4 linked regions of the Drosophila melanogaster genome follow. Changing the gene in region 4 together with the main gene of any one other region gives a genetic interaction. Each region holds a gene or a part of one and is shown on either strand. Other genes may lie near its edges.

Region 1 (5,313 bases), on a different chromosome or scaffold from region 4:
TCTCCAATAGATTTGTATGCTCCCAACACAATCCCAGCAATCCAATCAACAGACAACACACATTTAATAGAATTGTGTGCAATAAAAAATAAGTTAATTAATTGAGCGAAAAAGCAATTTTCGAACGGAATAAAACGGAATGGAACAGCGCGTGCTGTGAAAACTGTTGTCGAAGTTTTATAACCCAAGTTGTCGGTCGCATCAAGTGGCTTCTTGGACAGCTTGCTTGTGTCCAACCCACATTGTTTACTGCCATATCGTTAACTTTATTTTTACCCGTCTTCCTTTCCCTTGCCTCATATTACCGATTCGAATACGTACCATCCCGTCCTGCCCTGTCATTATTATCGTAAGAATTACTTTATTGCAAATTGAAGTGAAAAACGTTAATTGATCGATAACAAGAATGCGACAACGTCAGCAGATTCTTGGTGCCCATGTGTGCTTCTTTATTGACAAATTGTTGTATCAAAACAATTGATTGATAAACAATTAATTCGCCTTAGGAATTATTATATTTTATGACCGGAAGTGCATTATGAAACGCACTCTATTCACATTTGCAATTTGTCATTAAGGTTGCACCGGTTTACGACGCCATGGGCCAGATTCCGCATGTTATTATGTATATTTTGTTCGTATTTGCAGTGGCGACAACATTTCTGGATACCAAAAATGCCAAAGCCGCGATTCACTTCCAAAAATGGGCGTGAGAAATCGACGGGGGGCCAGCCATATAATTCCGACTTTTAGTCGTTTCAAGCGCGTCATCGTAAACGTCATTATGCCATACATACAAAAACAACAAGCAAACAATGTAAATCGAGACGTGCAAATATTTATAAGAGGATCAAATCGACAAGCAACGCGTGGCTTCCAGTGAAACAAAGTCAACTGCCTGCAAGTGGGAGGCATATTGGAGGGAAATGAAAGATAAGAGGCGGTGACAGCCGCATTAAACCCGACTTTTTTTTGTAAGGATTTGGCAGTACTAAGAACTAAGCATATGATCTTGCATAAATTGGATGGGAAGAACAAGTGTGAAAGTACATAGTATGTATACACAAAGTGCGAAACAATACTATGTTTATTGATTTTGGCGGCACGTCATGCAGTTTTGGCCCCCGAAAAAAGTCTGACGAAAGCAAAGCTCCACAATTGAGAAGCTTTTTAATGTGAAAAGCTCCGAGTTAATTCTTCTTTGATTATTCATTCGTCCGCCTTGAACCATTGACACATTTAGGGCGTGGGTGGGTGGTGGATAAGGAGACGAAAGAGCGCCGGAAGAGAGCGTGAGAAAGTCGGGTTTAAGAGAGAAAAGTGATCCCCGCACTAAAGATACAAATTGCTGTCTTTGAAAATATAAAAGTGGCGGAGAGCGAGAGGGAAGACGGAGGCAATAGGCGAATCAACAAACAAAAAACGCCAAGCGAAACAAACGAAGAAAATTAGCAAATGCTACAATACACGTGTGTGCGTGGTGTGTGTGTGTGTGTGCAAATATTTCTTCGTCTGTGCTATTTTTATAAAAAGAAAAAATGTTAAAGACAAGAAAAGAAAATAAAAAAAAACCGAAGCGAATGAGTGGGCAAGAGCAACAACAACTAACACACCAAGTAACTTCGACTCCGACTTTTTGCCTTTGGGGGGCACTCAAAGAAGAAGAAGAACGAGTGGAAGGAGAAGCATGTGGGGCAGCGGAGGAGCGGAGGAGCAGCCGGCGCAGTTCATGCGAATTTTTTTTGGGAATTTTCCACTGGCAGAGCGACAGCAGCAACAACATGAATAATTCACTTTTGGCCCAAGCCACCACAAACACCAGCGGTCACACTAATAGGCACTGTCATCCATGCTGAAAAAACTTAGGACTTTGGCTCCACTGCGCTGGGAGATCAATGAGGGGGATTCCCTGTTCACCGATTAACGTTACGAGAAAAAATTGCATTTTCAGCATCTTACTTGGAAAACCAATTAGAATCTGCCCAATAACGGTGATGGCACTAAGTTCCACATGGCTTTAATCAAAAGGCAATCAAAGTTTTAAAGCTATTGGTTTGATCTCTGGTGTTTTCCTTCAAACAGGCGCACACATTTCAACATTGTCGCCAATAAGGAATTGCATGCACGTACCGCAGCCCCCTCCGCCCCCCTCCCTTCACAAATGCTGTGACCACTCATTGAAGAACTTTTGCCCATAAAAGCAAATACTGATCGGCGGAACGGTAGATGGAATGGTAGATGGAGGAGTTTGGGGGGAGGGCTGAAGGGGCAACCTCCGCACCAATTATCGCGGAGACGCAGCAGCCGCAGAATTACACAGAGAACAATTTAAGTGTCGTGATAAATAAACAAACATTAATCACCACATCATTTAAACTTTTTTAGAAATCGTGCCTTAGATTTGTGTTGCGTATTCTCCATTAATTCCTGTTTACAAAATGTGCTTATAAAATATACAAACGAAATGGTACCAACAAGCTATGGACTAATTTGCGTTATTGACTGCGTTATTTTTTCAGTGTAAGCTGAAGCAGCAACAACAACGCTACAGTAAAACTGGTTTGAAGACGACGCCGCCGCTTCGGTTTGCCACTTGTTGTGCGCCTTGCGGCGGAAAGAGAGCGGCGATTGAGGGGGCCAGAGCAAGTGAGCGAGACAGGGGGATTGCAAAAACTTTTCCATTGATGAATTTTAAGTTTCTTCTTCTTGGATTTGGTAGTGAAGATGCACTGAAATCGTGGATACGTATACATCGCAACATATTCACAAACAACTATTGCGAGGAAGGGGCAAACAACGAGCGTTAGATTCCCACACAAATCGAGGTACTTTAAAGAGCTTTCTAGAACATTCGCCCCACTAAAAAAATACACATCTCCCCCAAGTATAAATAAAAATAAAAAAAAACATTAATACATTGGCAATGAGTGTGTGTGGGTTTTTGGGTTAAAGTTGGAGCATATTTCACAACGCCGTGAAATAAACTCCAATTCATTGGTCACTTTAGGCCATGTTGATAGCTCTTTTCGTGATTTTCTAATGGTGTCAGGCGGCAAAAACAACAATGCGGCAACTAATTAGATTTCAATGCATATTGAATTCGACTAGTTTCTAATTTTTATTTTTCTTTTGGAGACACATTACACTGCACACACTGTTGACACAAAAAATAAAGTAATCAGGCGCGTCACGATTTTGTTTCACTTTTTGTTTCGCCGTTGTTATTTATATTTATATTTGTTTCGTTTCGTTTTTTTTTTTTTTTGTCGCTGATAAAGCTACAAAAACAACAGGCAAATAGAGTCGCGGAATGGCTGAATGGAACGCGCCGGAACGAGAGGAGAGAACGACGCGCCTGCTCGATGGATTCAACGCGAGTGAGCGAGTCGAAGCATGGGCATCTACATCACATTCACATCAGCCGACAGCGTCGCCGGCAGCGCAGCAGCGCCTGCGCCGGCGTCCCGCAGCACAGCAGCGCTCGCAACGGAAGGACCACCTAACTAATCAATATTTCTACAACTTTAAATAAATGTCAACACCAGTTTATAAATACAGGCACCTTTCTAGGTAAGTTTGTCTCTACTAAGGCATGACACATCATTTTTGGTCTCTTCCAAGGAACATTTGATATAACTTTGATTTCTAACTGACTGACCGCAGCTGTACCGGAGCATTGAACGTTGCACGGTGGGCCGAAAGCTTTGCTTCGCTTCTCAAATGGAAATGGAATTAAATGAAAGAAGTATTTATGTTGTTTCTCACCCGAAAGAGAGCATCGCTGGCAGCTTGCTCCACACATTTGCCCCAATGTGCGCTAAAATTGATCGTCACATGGACGGCGAACGGCGAGGGAGGAAGCGGGGGAGCGTGTGCGGCGTGTGGGGAGCGAGCGAGCACACAGAGCAAAGGGGCGGGAAAGAGAGCGCTCGCGAAAGAATTTCTAGTCAGCGGACAGCTAATTTGCATGCGGTGCGTGAGTGTGCTAGCTGCATGTGCGAGTGTGCGAGTGTGTGCGTATTTGTTAGTACGCTGCGCCGGAATTTCTCATGTGTCGGCGACGCGACTTATGCAAAAATTAGGTAACCGAGAAAGAGATAAAGAAAGAGGCCGAAATGAGAGCGCGCGTGCCGATGAGTCAACAAAACAAAACAAAAACAGAAGAGTTAAAGAGTGGAAAATTCAGTGGGTGGGGAATGTGGGAGGTGGGGATGTGGGTGGCGAGGTCTTTTAACCACCGCTAATTGCGAAAGCATCGAAAAATGCAGCCGGTTCATTACGAGCGCCGCCCGAAAGTATGCAAGTCCCAAGGCCACAGCCATAAATGTTCGCCACAATCGAAATCTTAAACCCTGTATTGGTACATATTTCCACAAATTTCATTTGTAAACAAAATAACATAAACTCATGTAACTTAACCCATTTGGGCAACACTAGCTACAAATTCTGCGAAATTAGGCTAGCTTTACATATACGTAGCTTTTACTTATAAACTAATTAAACACTTAAAAACAATTACAATCTATAAGTTTGCTTTTAGCAGTTATCACCATATATATATATATATAGACTTCAATGTGGGAGAACAGACTTTTGCTTACCCGTTTATAGGAAGTTTGGTAATATGATAGTCAACTTACCTGGAAAGAAAATGAAGAAGAAAATTCAAAATTAGTTACGAGAACTTAATAATAATTAGCAATAACTTCAGCTGAACAAAGCGACCGGACACTAACTATTCACCGACTGGACAAACTGGCGCTCCAGATGTTTGTCCGGCGGGGGCTTGGAGGGGCCGCTCTCGATGGCCGTGCTCTTGACTTTCACATCGCGAGTGGGTCCTTGTTTAGCTGCCTTCTTGTTGGCCGATATGGTTACTGATTCTAGTGACTTGTGGTCAAGTCAAAATAGCAACGATGGTTTTGCGAAAGTAGCGCTTTGTTTAATGATAATAAGGCTAAAAGGTGATGGCCGTCCGTCCTTGAAGTTAATTTATTGGAATATTTGACGAAAGATTTTGAACACAATTTTGGCATTTAAAGCAGAACAGAATTTTGACAATAAATTGAGACAACCACCTTACGAGAATAGCTAAGCTAAAGTATTGCACGCACATGAATGAGGTCTGTGCCCTTGCTAGACTGAGTTTATTATTTTGGTTGATCGCAAGGAATTTCGTAGCCGAATTTACAGATAAATTTAATTTGCCTTTCTTCAATTATAAACAACATTGATAAATTATGGATGGCGGATTTGGAGCAGCGCCAAGTGCACGCAATATATAAACCGAAAAACGCATTTGGAGGTCGCCGA
Region 2 (5,283 bases), on a different chromosome or scaffold from region 4:
CTAGCGCAATATTGATGATATCTTAAGGAACGTCGGAACAAAATCTGATTCATGTGCAGCTTATTTTGAACTCAGTCACCTGCCAGGTGACAGTTTATCAAAGATAGTTATTACACACACCGCGCAATCACTCACCGCTAATTAGCTATCCAGATTGCAAGGGGCGATTGAGCCCGCAAACAACCCATTTAGCGGCTCGTTTCTCCATTATTTTGCTTGACTAGTATAAAATACTTGGCAACGAGTTTTCTCCGCCAGCATATCATAATCTGAAATCTCGTTATTCGATTAGGCTTAAATCAAAATGATTTATACGCAACTCCAGCAAGTGCAGTTAATTACAAGTTGAAATGTCTCATTAATAATCGAGAGAGTTGCATATTGATATGCACCCGTAACGCTCAGGCTAACTAAAATAGTGGGAGTACACCCATTGGTGTGATATGGGAGAGTTGGTTGGACCTCAGGTGAGAATATAAATAAATATGAGTTGACCGATCTGAATTTTTTTATAGTAGAATTATTGTTTAAAATGTTTATTCCCTAGTATATTTTTACTATATACTGCGAAATGAAGGTTATTAATAACAGTATATCTATTTGTGCCGAATACAACACACTGTCCCTGTTAAAGCAAATCTAAGGCACGACAAATCCGTTAAGGTAGCAGAGTAAATATTACTAAACATACACATGCACCCGGAGATACAGCCACACGCACACGCACACGCCAGCGGCAAATTGTGAACATAAATCTCTCCGGTAATAGGCGCACACGGGGAAATTGGAGGGGGTGGAGAATGGAAAAGATGGCAAGCAGAGCGTAGCGTATTTTGAGTTTTTCACTTTTTCGCATGATTTATTCAATTCGACTACGTCATCGCCTTGGAAAATCTTGAAAATTCGTGTGTATCTGCATGCAAATCAAACGAGAGCGAGACAATTTGTCGCACTTTATTATTAATACTCCAGATGCACCCCCGAATACCCTCGCCCCCGCAAATATAGTGTCATAAAACCCGTTTTTAGCCTTCAGTTAATTTGCTCAGACTCAGGCTCACTCGAGTGACTGTTCGAGAGCGAGTTCGAAAAATATCTTGAACTTGTTTAATCATAATTTCAGAGAAACCCAGATACAGATACACAAACGCTTACCCCAAGTTAGTATCCCATCATCGAACTATGGCGATTTTTCTGTTATTTTCGGATTTCCCCTGCCAGCCACCCTTTTCAAATCAAGTTCTGCTTTTCCCGATCCGAGGGTCTGGACTCGTAGTCGTGAACTCAGTACTCTTGGTTCTGCGGGTGGGTGTTGTGATATATGGGCGCGCTATTGGCGAGGCGCTGAATTTATAACGACAGGTGTGCGACTACGCCGAACCGCCAATGCCAATCATCAAATGCCATGAAATCATAGTTTCTTGATATATTTATTTGGCCGATTTGTGGTTGAGAGTCTGCAATACTATTTCAACAAGTTCGGCTATCAGTTCACAATGACAATGGTTTTTGATTTTGATTGAAAACGTTCTATATTCAATATATGTCGTATATACTTGGTATATATAATATTCTATTTAACCAGATACTTGAACGCACATAAAAAGCAATTGCAAAAAAATAATATTAACTGAATGAGATGAATGTAATTATTTTATATGTGAATATTTTGAGTATGGCCACTTTTAGTTAAGAATTCAATATTTCACTATTTCATAATGAAAAACACTTTGATGCACTTTGGTAGTAAAATCTCAGTTCGTTTATCCTTCATACCCAGAGTAGTCACATTTTTGAATCCCCCGAATAAGGCCATGTGAATCTTTTTCTTAATTCTACATCTTTCACTGTTCTATGGAAATAATCTTCCATATAACACTTACCCGGCATTTAGCGCCTGTCTGTAGATCTCGAGCATCAGAGCCTCGTGTAACATTTTTAAATTTTGCTGAATTTTGACGGTTTGCTGGAACTTGGATGGTTTGCTCTTTTTGGAGCAAACAACGAGGATTTTAGTTGGATTTTGGAACTTAACTTTAGTTTGACACAATGATCATATAATCTATTGTTTTGCACTTGGTACGTTGTAGTATAACTTGTTGTTGTTGCAGCGTATAACTGATTAATTTATATTTTTTGGATTTTGTAATTTATAAACTTTCGTATGTCAGACAAAAAATGACGTTTCGAGGCGTTTGTATTTTTAATTCCTAATTTGTGTTGATTTAAATTTAATTTATTAATTGCATTGAATCGTATACTTCGTTAAGGTTTGTTGATTTAAGTAACTGGCTTTACATTATGTATGTAGTGTAATTTTGGTGAATTAAATACCGTTTAATGTAAATATTTGCAATAGTTTATCTTTAGTTTTGGTAATAAATATATTTTTGTGGTATATTTTGTTTAGCTTGTGGTAGTTTTACGTATACTTTGTTGAACCATTTGTAGTTGTATGTTTCTCGTATGTTTCAGTCTTGATCGAGCATTTGCGTTCGAGAGTATCAAACCTCTGCTTCTTTGACTAGATATGATGGCGGCCTGGAAAACACTCGTTCTATCCTCCCCCAAAAACGCGTTTTAAACTGAGAATTCACTGTTCTGGCGGAACCGCGGGTCGCGATGCGTGCGTCTTCTCATCCGGATTCGTCGTCACTACTCGAACGAAAGTCCAAAGGCGATTGAATCCCGCTGGCCGGGTTCCTTCGTCACTAGCCTCTGCTGCGGTGCTCTGCCGGTGCGCTGCTGCTGCGCTGCCGTCGCTGTCAAGCTGACAAACAACAACAACGGGGCGCTGCTGCTCTGCCTTCACTGATTGATACGGATGAAAAAATGAAGCGACGCGACGGACGCGCAGCGATTGGAAGCTGCGCTGCTGTTGACGAGCAAACACGAAGCCCGCGTTTTGGCGACGGCAATTTCTGATTCGATTTTGCGTTCTGGCGACGGCTGCGCACTTGTGTGTGTGTTGTGTGTGCCGTGTGTGCCACCCACACCCTTGCAGGACAAGCTGGCTGTCAGCGTGATTAAATGTGCTACTCTCTCGCTCGCACTCGCCGGCACTCGGCTAACTAATTACCGTACGATTTTTCCAAGTGCGCCGAGCTTTTTCGCACGATCGTACGCAGTAACGGTTTCTTGTCGACTGACTGACTCTTGGCGAAAAGAACCCGAAACCGATGGGTAGCCAAAAGAGAGCGCGAGAGAGAAGAGAGAGAGAGAGCGACAAGAGCGCAGACTTTCCCCTGTGCTGGCAAGTGAACGCTTGGAACTGAAACAGGGGAAATCGCTAGGGAAAGAGATAGCGTTGTGGGACCGCTCCGTCTCGCTTGCTCCGAAAGTGTGTGAAATCTGTTTTGTCGTTTCGTCACCCTTCTTTTGTCCTATTCCGAATCCGATTCCATCACAATTAAGATTTATGACAGTTTAACAAAAATGCTCTCACTCGCATGCGCCGTCCTGCTCGCAGCCACTCAAACTGTGTCGGTCCCTGCTCTGTTTTTATTTCTTTTCAAAATAAACAGTAGTTGTTGCTCTCTGAGCTTTTCGCCCTCGTCACTTTTAGCCTCTTCCCTCTCGCTCACCTTCCTTCATACCCTCTGCTGTCAACTTTTGTTCGCCTTTCTGCAGCTTCTTCGTGGATCTCGCTTCTTTTGTTTCGTTGCATTGCTGTGCGAGCGAGTAGGAGAGTGAAAAAGTGGAAAAGTGGTTTGGGGCAATTTTCACTTGAAATCAACCCATTCCACTTTTCTTTTTGGCTGCGAAAACAATTGAATTAGCGACACTCCGGCCGTTCTTTCCTCTGAAAATGTGCCAAAATGCCGCGATTTTATTAGTTTTCATGGCAAGGTGTCAATGTTTGTGAATGCGTGAATGTAAGGCTGTGTAAGAACATTGATGTACATATGAAAGTATAAAGCCGAATGAAGTACAAATTTGGTTTAATAAGTGCCTTTATACAGTCTAAAAGATGACAGCATTGAATACTATTTAAATACTAGTATCATTAATACTCAAGATCACGTCTAATAAGTGCATCTACAATATTTTTCTTTGTGCCGACCCTGGTTACCTTAAGTTTATATATTGCATGTACTTTTTCACATAAATTGACAAACGTATAAAATAGTAACTTTCGATACATTATAATACATTACATTATAAAACATTATATACATTATTCTATAAAATTATCAACCGGTAACCGAGCATTGCCTTGATTCCTATGCATATTTACGGAGACGACTACTGAATCAAAATTTAGTTGCGAGGAGTCCACGAAAGGTGCCCCTACTTAGCCCAAGGCATTTTAAGCCAAGGTTAAACTTCGCTAAAACCCACCTAAACTGGCCAGTCTCCAAATGGCGTAATATCCCCTGGACTGATGTGTTAAAAATAGTGCTATTTGGTGGAACTGGTTCATATGGTTATATCTGACGACCTCCAAACACCGAGTACCACCCAAAACACCCACTGAAGACTTTCAATCACGGTGGACCTGCAATACTGGTATGGGCTTGTTTATTTTTTACAATGGTATGAGTCCATAACATATGATTTATGGTATTATAGACCAAAACGCATGTGTAAATATACTAAGGGATGTCTTACTGTCATATTCTTATTATAATATGCCCTTAAAATGGAAATTCCAACAGAATAATGATCCGAATGGCAGAAGCAAATCGGTTAAGAAAAGGTTCACCCAAAATAGAATAGATGCAATGCCGTGGCAAGCACCATCTTCCGATTTAATCCCGATTGAAAACCTGTGGGGGGACATTATACAATATGTGACGAATAATTCCCCGACGTCTAAGGCTCAGATTTGGCAAGTTGTGCAGGATGCATTGGCAAAAATTCCCCCCAAACGTTGCCAGGACCTGGTGGACTCCAAGCCGCGTAGGTGGTGGCTAACAGAGGCTATCCAACACATTAATAAGAAAAACTGTTAGTTTTAAGTCAAATTGAATTTTGTTAATATTTTTTTATTGCACTGCTCTTTCAGTGAACACCAGAATATCTGCCTATTATGTTGTTTTGATCTATATTTTAGAAAACTATTAAAGAAATAAGTGTGAAATTTTTGTTGAATTGTTGGAAATTAAATACCTAATGATATTATAAAAAAAAGCCCATCAAAACTGTAAATCATAGGATTTTTCTATATTAAACTCGCAGGTGCAAAGCACTGCTATTTTTTATGAACACAGCTGTATATTGATTTAAGTCAGAAGTTAGCATCACAATAAGGGAGACATGCGTTAGTGTAAAGTACATGTA
Region 3 (6,019 bases), on a different chromosome or scaffold from region 4:
CCCCGGCCCAGGATACTCAACGCGGAAATGGGCAAGAAGACGCAGTCGATGAAACCGCTGATGAGCATGGGCAAGGAGCTCTGTCCCACGGACGTCGACACCGAAGAGGACGATCCGGATCCAGATCTCGATTTTGATATCGATAATATACCGGTATCTATTGTTACCCGTAAGAATGCCAATGTCAATGCCAATGCCAAGTCCAAGCAGGTGACGACAACGACGTCGGTGGCGGCGTCGGCGGCGATGACGTCCGCTCCAGCAGCGGTAGCGGTTAACAAGTTGAACAACAATCGGCGCAATGTGCTGTCCACGACAGCGTCGTCGGTGAATGCGCTGATTGCGGACCGGAGGCTGAGCAATCTGCTGGCCGATAACGATGTCCAGCCGGTGTTCAAGAAGCCGAGCCTGGTTCCGCAGCGTCGCAGCAAGGAGAACCAGCAGGAGCAGCAGCGCGACAAGGAGCTGACAACGCTGCGCGAAATATTGCCCACCGGCGGTGGCATCGACGATGCCAACAGTCCCAAATATTTTCCGCCCGAGACCACAACGTTTCACGAGGAGGATGGTCGTGTGGTAAAGAAGATCACCTGCTATGAGACGTGGCATGTGGTTAGCACGGCCAAGGATATGTTGTCGAAGATGGCGCGCCAGCAGCGCACCTGCCTGGAGCTGGCGCTGGTCAAGCTGGCCAATGTGGCGTCACGGATAAAGGTGCCATCGGGCAAATGGACCAGCAAGGTGACGCTGTACAAGGTCTCGCCGTCGATGATGCCCCGCCAGACAATGACCATCTTTACGGGCGATCTCAAGGCGTACAACATACCCGAGGAGGACCGTCACAAGTATCAGCCGTCGTGCGTGCTCTTCCGGCGCGTTGTCGTTGACAAGAACACGTGCCGCGTGCCCTACGATCGGGCCGTCATCTTCAAGAACAAATGCTTCTATGCGAACATCGATGGCAAGCATGTGAATCTGTTGGGTGCCCCCGAGACGGTTGCCACCATCAAGGATGTGGAGATCCTGCTGGATATCGTCGATCGCCTCTCGATCAGCAGCAACATTGTCGAGCTGGTCAACGCTAAGTGAGCGTGGAGGCCTGGTCCATGGTGGCCACAGGAAGAGCACGTATCACATTGTAAAAAATAATTCACACACAGCACTCCCCTCCCCATCCCCATCCCCCTCCCCCATACACATACACAAACAAACAAAGCGGACACTCGATAATTCGTTTTATGCTGTAGTTGTAATAAAACAGATACAAGTTTTTTTTTGTAAAACCATTAACTTAGTTGTAATAGCTAGTGTAGCGTAAATTTATATATATTTATATGTATATATATATATGTATGTATATAAATATATATTAATATATATACACGTATATATAATTATATATTTATATATATGAATATATATATATATATATTTATATAAATTTTTATATATATATATCTCGTATATTATAAACAGCGGACGGACATACATAAATACAAACGGCAGATGTATCTATGTAATATAAACTAAACTAAAGAAAACAATTAATTGTAAAATGCTCGCCCAACTCTCGAAGGGATTGCGAAGTTCCGGGCGGTCGAGGTATATCAATAATGATTTTTATTTTAAATGCGTTGGAATACATAGCCCCCCTCCGCCTTCCCCGCGAGTCCCGCCCCCTTCGAAATCCTTTTTTTTTAAATTGCTATTATCGTAGTCGATTCAATAATATAAAACCGGGCGTACATGTGCCTACGCCCGCGTGGAGGACTAGCCAGTAAGTTAGTCGAGTGTATATCTAAGTGATCCCAATTCAAAGCATACAAATAAAAGAGAAAACTGATTTAAATAACGAGCGCCATTGCGTGATAAATGGCGGGCGGGGTTATCTGGAAATCGGGCAGCTATAAATAAACTGCGGCCAACGCTAGAGATTTTCGTGTGAAAAGCGAAAGAAGATAAGGAACGCAGGCTTCAAGTGGATGGATGGATGAGTTTCCTTGGTCAAGTTTCCATGACAAGGATAAAGACTCTACTTTTAAACAGGACACTCTTCAACTATGCTACATCATTATATGGTAAATTAATACAATTAAGAGTTCAATATAGCTGTAGTTTTAGATTCTACATGTTTTATGTAATAGAAATTGCTATTTTGTTAAATTATAATAAATTTATTGTTTTGAATAAGTATTCAAATTAAACGATATTTATCGATAACTTTGGTATTTAATTTTAAAAGTGTTTGAACTACATTCAAATTGTAAAGCAAATATCGTTAGAGAGAGCATTTCCAATAGAAACTAAATACATTGCAGTTTTTAGTAGTTTTCCATACGCTTTTTCAGAATATTCGTTTGAGAAAATGTTAAGAATGTTCGAATTCGAAAGGGTCTGGCATCGCCGGCAGTGTGACCAACTGCCCGGCGCTTTGGCATTCCGTGCGTGACGAGCGGCTAACACACTGTTTTTTTTTAGTCTCAAAATTCTAACAAATTTATTGATAAACTAGCAATATGCTCGTTTCGCCCTGCCCCCGCTGCGTGCACCGACATTAAAGCGCACCAAATCGTGCTAATGGAGCAATATCAACGCCGTGCAAATCGACGAATTAACAGCCGCCGCTTCCATTGAATCGAAATACCCAGCCCAAAAAAAAGAGAAAGAAAAAGTAAAAGAAACGCGTGCGAGAGCGAGAGGGCTAGAGCGACCAGGGGGAGAAAAGCAAAATCGAGTGAATTTTGTTTGTTGTATCGGCTTTTCCCTGGCTTAATCCCGTTTTCCCTGTGATTTTTCCCCACCAACTTCCCACGCCACCTCCCCACCGCATCCATCGCATTTCGTTTTGATCGCGTTTTATCGCGTCGAGGAGTTTTCCCGTGGATTTCCGCAGTCGGCGCAGCTAAAATGGACGCGGACAGGGGCGGCGGGCAGGAGACGAAGGTGATATACCACATCGACGATGAGACGACGCCGTATCTGGTGAAGATCCCCATTCCATCCGCCCAGGTGACGCTGCGCGATTTCAAGCTGGTGCTGAACAAGCAGAACAACAACTACAAGTACTTCTTCAAGTCAATGGACGCCGATTTCGGTGTGGTCAAAGAGGAAATAGCCGACGACTCCACCATACTGCCCTGCTTCAATGGGCGAGTGGTGTCCTGGCTGGTCTCCGCCGATGGTACCAATCAGTCAGATAACTGCTCCGAGCTGCCAACCAGTGAGTGTGAATTGGGCATGGGTCTGACCAACAGGAAGCTACAGCAGCAACAGCAGCAGCATCAGCAGCAGCAACAACAACAGCAGCAGCAGCACCAGCAACAGCAACAACAACAGCAGCAGCAGGTGCAGCCTGTCCAGCTGGCGCAGCAGCAACAGCAGCAGGTGCTCCATCACCAGAAGATGATGGGCAATCCGCTGCTGCAGCCGCCACCGCTCACATATCAATCGGCATCCGTGCTCTCCAGCGATCTGGACTCGACCAGTCTCTTTGGCACCGAATCCGAATTGACGCTGGACCGCGACATGACCGACTATAGCAGCGTTCAGCGATTGCAGGTGCGCAAGAAGCCGCAGAGGCGCAAAAAACGGGCGCCCAGCATGTCGCGCACCTCCTCGTACAGCTCCATAACCGACTCGACCATGTCCCTAAATATCATTACCGTCTCCATCAACATGGAGGCGGTCAACTTTCTGGGCATATCCATTGTCGGGCAATCGAATCGCGGCGGCGACGGCGGCATCTACGTGGGCAGCATCATGAAAGGCGGCGCAGTGGCACTCGATGGACGCATCGAACCGGGCGACATGATCCTCCAAGTGAACGATGTCAACTTCGAGAACATGACCAACGACGAGGCGGTACGTGTGCTGAGAGAAGTCGTTCAGAAGCCGGGACCCATCAAGCTGGTGGTGGCCAAGTGCTGGGACCCAAATCCCAAGGGCTACTTCACCATTCCGCGCACGGAGCCGGTGCGACCCATCGATCCCGGTGCTTGGGTGGCGCACACTCAGGCCCTCACATCGCACGACAGTATTATTGCCGACATTGCGGAGCCGATTAAGGAGCGTCTGGACCAGAATAACCTCGAGGAGATCGTTAAGGCGATGACGAAGCCGGACAGCGGCCTGGAGATCAGGGATCGCATGTGGCTAAAGATAACGATTCCCAATGCATTTATCGGCGCCGATGCGGTCAATTGGGTGCTGGAGAATGTGGAGGATGTTCAGGATAGGCGGGAGGCGCGAAGGATCGTCTCGGCGATGCTGCGCAGCAATTACATCAAGCATACGGTCAATAAGTTGACCTTCTCGGAGCAGTGCTACTACGTGGTGAACGAGGAGCGCAATCCCAATCTGTTGGGCCGAGGACATCTGCATCCGCACCAGCTGCCGCACGGGCATGGCGGCCATGCGCTTAGCCATGCGGACACCGAGAGCATCACCAGCGACATCGGGCCGCTACCGAACCCGCCCATTTATATGCCATATTCGGCCACGTACAATCCAAGTCACGGCTATCAGCCGATCCAGTACGGCATCGCCGAGCGACACATCTCGTCGGGATCGAGTAGCAGCGATGTGCTGACCAGCAAGGATATCTCGGCGTCGCAGAGCGACATCACCTCGGTGATCCATCAGGCCAACCAGCTGACCATCGCCGCTCATGGCTCTAACAAATCATCCGGCTCCTCCAATCGGGGCGGCGGCGGAGGCGGTGGCGGTGGCGGCAACAATACCAACGATCAGGACGTATCCGTATTTAATTACGTATTGTAGAAACCTTTCTTTTTGCAATCAAATTGTGTTTTTAATTAATTAAATTAAATATGTACGATTATTCTTTTTTATATACGAGTATACAAAGCAAGCAAACAGCAAACCACAATATAATAATTATAATTATAATAATAATAATAATAATAATTATAATAATAATAATAATACTTATGTATATGTATGGTATGTGTAAGTCATAGAAAAGAACGCTAAACACCCAGCCGCAACGAGTCAAGGATCAGCGAGGGCTCGTGAGGCAGCAGGAGGATCAGCACAGGGATATCCGTGTCCGGCAGCAATCGGTTGTGGACCCGATCAGATCAGATCAACTGAGATATATGATATATGATATATATATATATATATATATATATATATATATGGATGATGCGGAGCGGAGCGGAGGAGCAGGAACGGCAGCATGACGGGCGAGAATGATTTTGAATAAAGTTCTAAGAATTTAGTAATCACAAAGTAAATAAATACAAATAAAATGAATAATCGATGGCTTTTCCATATGCATGAGATTGGTTTCTTTAACGCATTTTAGCTGTTTTCAAGTGCAAATCAAATTGCCAAGAAGACTTTTAAAATATTCCTAAAACATATTAGCGTTTGTTCGTAATTTGAGGAATATACATTAAAAAGGAAGTCTAATTTTTGTTAGTTCTTATTTCTTTGTACAGATTAACAATATTTAAACACATACTTTCCATCCTAAAAAGTAAAAGTCTCAACAAGATAATATTGTTCTTCCCCCTAAACCAAACAATGCGCCATCGAGAACAATCCTCGAAGTTGTGTGCACTCGGAGCGGAAACATTCCGGGCATGGGTGTGCACTTAATAAAGAAGAGAATAATGAAACCTATAAATAGAAAATCCATTTCGAGCAGCAAATGTGTTCAAATCAACCGCCCAGCTCGGACACTTTGCAACACTAAGCCCGAAAATCGATAGCAACGAACGTTCGATAACTGTTCGATAAGCACGCCAAAGCAAACTATCGCTTTCATTCCAGAAAGGTCGCGAAACCAATAGGTTCTATTGTGGAAAGAAACGCAAATTTCCAGTTCATTTGGATTGTTTAAATCCGAGAAAACGATGGCAACGGATGTGGAGCCGGCGGCGAATACGGCGGACAAGTTCTCCGCCAACGCGGAGGAGCTAGAGGGCTACTATCTGATGCTGGAGGCGGGAAATATTCCGGAACTGCAATGGCAATTTCCGGGACGCAGGGC
Region 4 (5,671 bases):
CACTTTATTCTGAGGAGAATAATGAAATTAGCTCATATCAGCGATGTTGTTCAAGGTCGAAACTAAGTAATAAGCTACATACAAGTATGTATCTGTATAAACATTAAAAATTCCCCCGAGCCTTAACTACTCACATGAGGAACCAAAAACGATATTTGAAAATGAGGCACTGCAAATAATATGTATGTAGTTTTTACAGCTTTTCCGCGAAACCTAACTAGTTTGCTTTGGAGTCACGTTGCCGCCAGTTGAAAGCAGTTTCGATTCACAAGTGGACATTCCAGAACCAAGTCACATGCGAAGTTCCCTGGAATGTGCTATTACGAATGAGATGTGATACTATACTGACTGCGAATCCAAGCCAGTGGAAGAGTGGAGTTCCCGATCTCAGGACTCTCACTCCGGCGGAATAGCTAATCACGCCCCTTTGTGCCAGGGGCCACTAATTACCATGTTTCCTGGTAACGTCAATCTGACGCACTTAAGTGCGGAAAATCAATGAACATTAATGACCCGGTCCCTTTATTAATAAATTGTAAGTGGGCCAATTGACTGACGACTGAACGCGACTTTGAAATTCAGGCAATGAAAGGTCTAGGAATAGCAGTACACTGTGCGGAGTTTCGAATACCACTTAGAAAGTGATTTTGAAGTTGGAAAACCGAATGAAATATTCACCATTTAAGCTAGTTTCTATGAATAAATGAGCGCTTGCAGCAACAGATAAAAGTTCATTGACTTTGATTTATTTATGAATGAAATATTCATAATGCATAGGCTTTTTAATTAGAATAATAACATTAAATCGCAGGCAGTAATTTCTTCCGGTGTAGGAACCACCTCTATTCGCAAATGCAAGCACTTTTTTTTTGGGTGTGTCGGGGGGCGGTGGGAGGTGGGCGGTGGCAGGGGGCGTGGAACGAACAGGTATTTTCGGTTTAGTTGTTACGAAATAAGTGGCGAAAATTGACGTGCCGAAAGCGAAGGCAAAAAACCAAAACAAACAAACACGAAAACTCAGGCAAATGCGCCGTACGCTTTGCATTGTTTTTTCGCCCACTTTTTATGGATCGAATTTAACGACAATCTTTGGCCTTTTGTTGCTTTAATTGCCCTAGCTGTCCGCACTCACCTTTGCTGGACTTTTCGCGCAGTGCAGCTGCCTCGAAGGAGCCCAATGCCTGCATTATTTCGCGGTCGCCACTTTCCTTGCGGTCAATCGATTTTTCAGAGCGCCCCGAAAAGTCCAAGTGCAGCAGTGTAACGAATTCGCAGCTTTCGTTCGCTTTTCCGTGCATTTCGGAATTTGCACTAATTGGTAGGATTCCCCGGGGAATCGAATCCGTCACTTTTAATCCTGTTTGCTGTTCTTTTCGCACTCGCTTTTGTTTTTGCAATGCAGGCTCCTGCACTTGCGGTACACACACATACCAGCAGCTGCTACGGCCGCCGCTGCACACACACACACGCACAGCGGGCAAACGGGCATCTCTCTAGCTCTACCCGTCTCGCTTCAACCCACTGCCGCGCGCATTTTCACATTTCCCGCATTTGTTGCTACTTCGCTTGATTTATTCGGCGTTCATCTGGGCGTTCCGTTTTCACTTTCGCCTGGCTGGGGCAACAACAAGCTCGCGATCGAGTATCTCAGCTCGGCCGTCCGCTGCGAACGAGTATCTGAGTAGCTGAGTAACTGAGTATCTGAGCGTGAGTATCTGTATCCGAGTGTCTCGCGGAATCGGAATCAACACAAACAGCTGTTAGGGCTGCGATGGCAAGAATCGATAGCTTAGCGATAGGAAATCGATAGTTTGGGATTTAAAAATTGAACAAACAAAATCGTTTATTAACTTGATTTGGGAAATCAAACAGGTGTAATTCATACATCAGCGCAGTCTCCTGGCCTCGCGTTCAGTTTCCAGCAGCGACAGGATGTCGCCCACGCGAACAGGTCCTTTGACATTCCGAATAATCTGGCGGCTTTGGTCGCCGAGGAACTCCACCCGCACCTGGGTGCACTGCCCTTGGGATCCAGTGCGTCCAAGGATCTCGACCACGCGAGCGTACTGAGGCTTGTCCATGCTGAATACGAAATTCGAGAATTGTTCGACAATAAAAGATTTGAATTTGAAGCTGTGAGTGCTGCTGCCTTTCCAGTCGATGAAAATAGAAAACCTATCTACCCTTCTATCATCCCTGGCGCCACCTGTAGGCCTTGTAGCGCAACATAAGTGCGGACGCGAACCACAAGGTGACCCCAAGTCGAGCTGCCACCTTTCGCAGTGTTGGCAATCCAGTTGGCATCCCCGAGGCGAGCTATCGAACCAGTTCGATTTCGAACCACGCAACTCTAGCATGTAATCGTTCGTCTCGCCGTCTAACATTTGTGTCGAACTACATTTTGTTTTGCCATTCAATAAATCTATTATTTACCACTGAATAAGCGGCGCCACGGAGCCCTAAAAGAGTGTGCGCGTTCCGGAGACTCGGCGCACAGCGGCCCGCAGCGATACGTCCATGAAAATCGAACGGCAACAGCAGCAGCACCCACAACCAGCGGAGGCAACAGCAACAAAATACACAAAATAAAGAAGCAGCAGACGGAAAAGTGCACAAATGGTGCAGAACTGAGTGGAAAGGCCACCGAGCACAGATTTCTCACAGTGCAGGAGCCCGGAGACGCCGAAATGCTCTAGAGGGCGGCGCTTCAGCACGATTTTCTCCCCGCGGAGAGCCCAAAGTTGCCAGCGGACGAGGATGACTGCTCCTGGCGAAGCATTAAGTTAAGAGACATACAGCCATTGTTTACAGCAGGCAGCTCAGACACCGGGATAGGATAGGATAGGATATGCCCTCGGGCCAGCCCACTTGAGTTGAGGAGAGCAGAGGAGAGGATCGGGATCCGTGCGCGAGGAGAGGATCTGCAGCCTTGTTTAGCATTTAGTCCGGTCATCGTGCCAGCGCCTTGTTAACCACACTCTCTTGTTTACGTTTGCTTGTTTGTTGAACTCCACAAATCGTCCTTCCATTAATTGTTAGTCACGCGTCCCTCTCGTTGAGCACACTAATCAAAATGAAAGCATCCTCGTCGATATCGAAATTGAAGTTGAAATTGAAATCGAAATTGAAAGCTAAGTTGCAATTGAAATCGAAGCGTCCAGCCGTTAAAGCTACAATCAAATTACACCCGTCCAAACCCACCTCGTCATCGCCATTGCCATCGTCACCGCCATCGAAGATTGGAGCCAGGGCCGTCAGGACTGCGCCAGGATCAGTCGTCTGCCATCCCAATTGAGTGAAGCCGAGGATACACGAATCTAAGGGTGAGTACTGCTCTTGGAATTCCCATGCACAATCCATAACTAATGCTATTACTTTCTTACGCAGTTTGTGGATTATTGGATTTGCACAACTTACTTAAGGACTAATATTAATACTTTAAGAAAGGCACAACATAAGTCTGATTAATGATCTAGTTGTATCAAGGGAAATGATTGGAATTAGACAATTTATTCACGTCTAACTAATATCTCAAATATTAATAGTAATTTGAATGATCCTTTGTAAGAAATGTGAGCATATATTTTGCAATAATAGTAACTTTATGAAATGTATATTTCATTAAATCGAAGGATGATACCTGATCATTGAAAAAGTCATTTAGAACGCCATGCAAATTCTAATCATCCAACTAAAATATTGCTCAATTAATTAGTTTGCAGCACATTTAATTTATTTCTGAGGTGTATGTGCCAATGGGATCCCATAGAAACTGTATATATCTTTTAACTTCATTAACAAATCAATTAATTAACAAAACAGTAAAACATAATTATATTATCATCCTGCATTCATATCCATAATATACAATGTTACCTATTTAACAATTTACACATCCTCTTCTTTCAGGTACTGAATGTACTGCATCAACTGTAATATAAGCTACGTAAATAGGAATTTATGCGAATAAGAGTAATTAAGTGAAGCGTGTAGTTAAACATTTCTACAAACCGGACATAAAAAGATTCAACCATCTTAAAGGACTTGCAGCGCTATGGATTGATATGTTCTCAAGCGTTGGCCATTTCTCACTTGAGTTTAATCGGTTAGTGTTCTATCACCCTTTATATTCAAAGCATTCTTTAGATTTATTTAGGCGTTTATTGGATGCACCCGTGCGCGAAATATTTTCTCCCCCACAAATCCAATATGTATGGCTTATTGAAAAAAAGGAGGCACTTGGGTGGTTGCTACTGATTGATTTAAAGTTCGCTGTGTTGAAAACTAATTCGATTTGGGCTCTGAAATGTAAATTTATTTAAGCTGAGCCAAAAATAATATTTATACAATTTTATCTCTATTAAAATACCTTCCAATTTTATCTTTGATGCAATATTTATGACTGGCATATAAAAAAGTTTTTTTGTTTAATTTATTTATGGTATTTGTATTATGTTTTGGTTTGAATGATTATTTATGAGATGCACGAGACTAAAGATTTTTCTTAAAATTATTTTCATTGTTTTGGACTTACTTTCTTGGCGAACAAAAATATACCCAATGGCCAAATCTCTTTTCTCCCAATTGATAATTGATAATATCCTTATGTATAAAGCTTGCCTATTATATATACATATTTTATATACATTTATTTATATATATGTATATTTAAAACAGAGTAAAAGTGTTCATAATTTTTTTAACTATCCCATAATGCTTGGTAAGGCTAGAAACATTAGTCTTCAGATAAAACTTTAACTTTAACATATAACATAAATTTATACCAAATGGATAACAATGGCTCTAATCTTTTTTTTTTCCAAACTCTTAACTATATGTTTACAACCTTAGTCTTTCGAACAAATATTTTAGTATTATATATTGTCTTAGCTTATTTCAAAATGATTTCAATTGATCTAATCTTTTCTTCATTTCACTATTCTTTCAGGAACAACTGGAACCATTCGGAATACCAATATCTTCCCCTGATTTCATGTTGAATTTTTTATGCAAATTACATATGTGAGTATACAACTTATTTTTACTTTGTCAATGGTTTTGAAGTTTAAGACAACTACGATTGCATGCGAGAATCTCAGAAATATAAACTAGTATGAAAAACTGATTTACATTGATATACTTAGGTCCTTTTCCATTTCTCGAAACCTAATAATCATGACATCCTGAAGGGTTTTAATAAATCCTTTTTAATTGGTTATTATTCGGAAACTACCTTTTCACTCAATTGAAAAATCCTCTTAGTGCAATAAGGATACCATGATTTCACTATTGTTTATTGGGCTGCAGCACTCTGATTAAGGAATTGAATAAGTTTCCGTTGTCTCGGAGAGGAGCAACAGTTGACCGCGCCCAAGTGCATCCTTCGGGTCCTTCGGTGTCCTTGTAATGGGCGTTGCACCTGAAAAGTAGGCGCTTCCGCGCTGAACTTTTCCGCCTGTGCTGGCAACTTTTGCCGCGCACAAAGTGCCACTATTGACCTTCGGCAATACTCGCAGCCGCAGTGAGTAGTGCCCGTGTTTCCCCCAGTTTGCCGGGCCAGACCATGCCGGCGTGGAGTCTAGACCGCCATCAGACGCCGTTCATCGGGCGGTTGGTTGAGCAATGGCGGTCTTAACCTCATTAGAAACAAACGAGGCTGCCGCCGGTCGCT

The links.
Region 1: of Axn (region 4) and sgg, changing one suppresses a phenotype caused by changing the other (phenotypic suppression), as found in Drosophila melanogaster (2 studies listed by BioGRID).
Region 2: of Axn (region 4) and tsh, changing one suppresses a phenotype caused by changing the other (phenotypic suppression), as found in Drosophila melanogaster (one study listed by BioGRID).
Region 3: of Axn (region 4) and dsh, changing one suppresses a phenotype caused by changing the other (phenotypic suppression), as found in Drosophila melanogaster (2 studies listed by BioGRID).

Annotation. Positions count from the first base shown.
Region 1 is NC_004354.4:2,644,703-2,650,015, reverse strand, and holds the start of sgg (shaggy), read right to left. Parts: upstream 3,380-5,313; 5' UTR 3,145-3,379; intron 281-3,144; exon of another isoform or gene 277-280; intron 1-276.
Region 2 is NT_033779.5:21,826,459-21,831,741, reverse strand, and holds the start of tsh (teashirt), read right to left. Parts: upstream 3,150-5,283; 5' UTR 1,937-3,149; coding exon 1,884-1,936; intron 1-1,883. UniProt on the Drosophila melanogaster protein: Homeotic protein that acts downstream of Arm in the Wg cascade during embryogenesis to determine segment identity throughout the entire trunk.
Region 3 is NC_004354.4:11,353,447-11,359,465, forward strand, and holds dsh (dishevelled), read left to right. Parts: upstream 1-2,434; 5' UTR 2,435-2,907; coding exon 2,908-4,779; 3' UTR 4,780-5,278; downstream 5,279-6,019. Other genes in the region: CG1737 (uncharacterized protein), read left to right, coding at 1-1,089; Pa1 (PTIP associated 1), read left to right, coding at 5,883-6,019.
Region 4 is NT_033777.3:30,020,518-30,026,188, forward strand, and holds the start of Axn (axin), read left to right. Parts: upstream 1-2,324; 5' UTR 2,325-3,323; intron 3,324-3,909; 5' UTR 3,910-4,105; intron 4,106-4,948; 5' UTR 4,949-5,022; intron 5,023-5,671. Other genes in the region: RpS28a (ribosomal protein S28a), read right to left, coding at 1,887-2,081.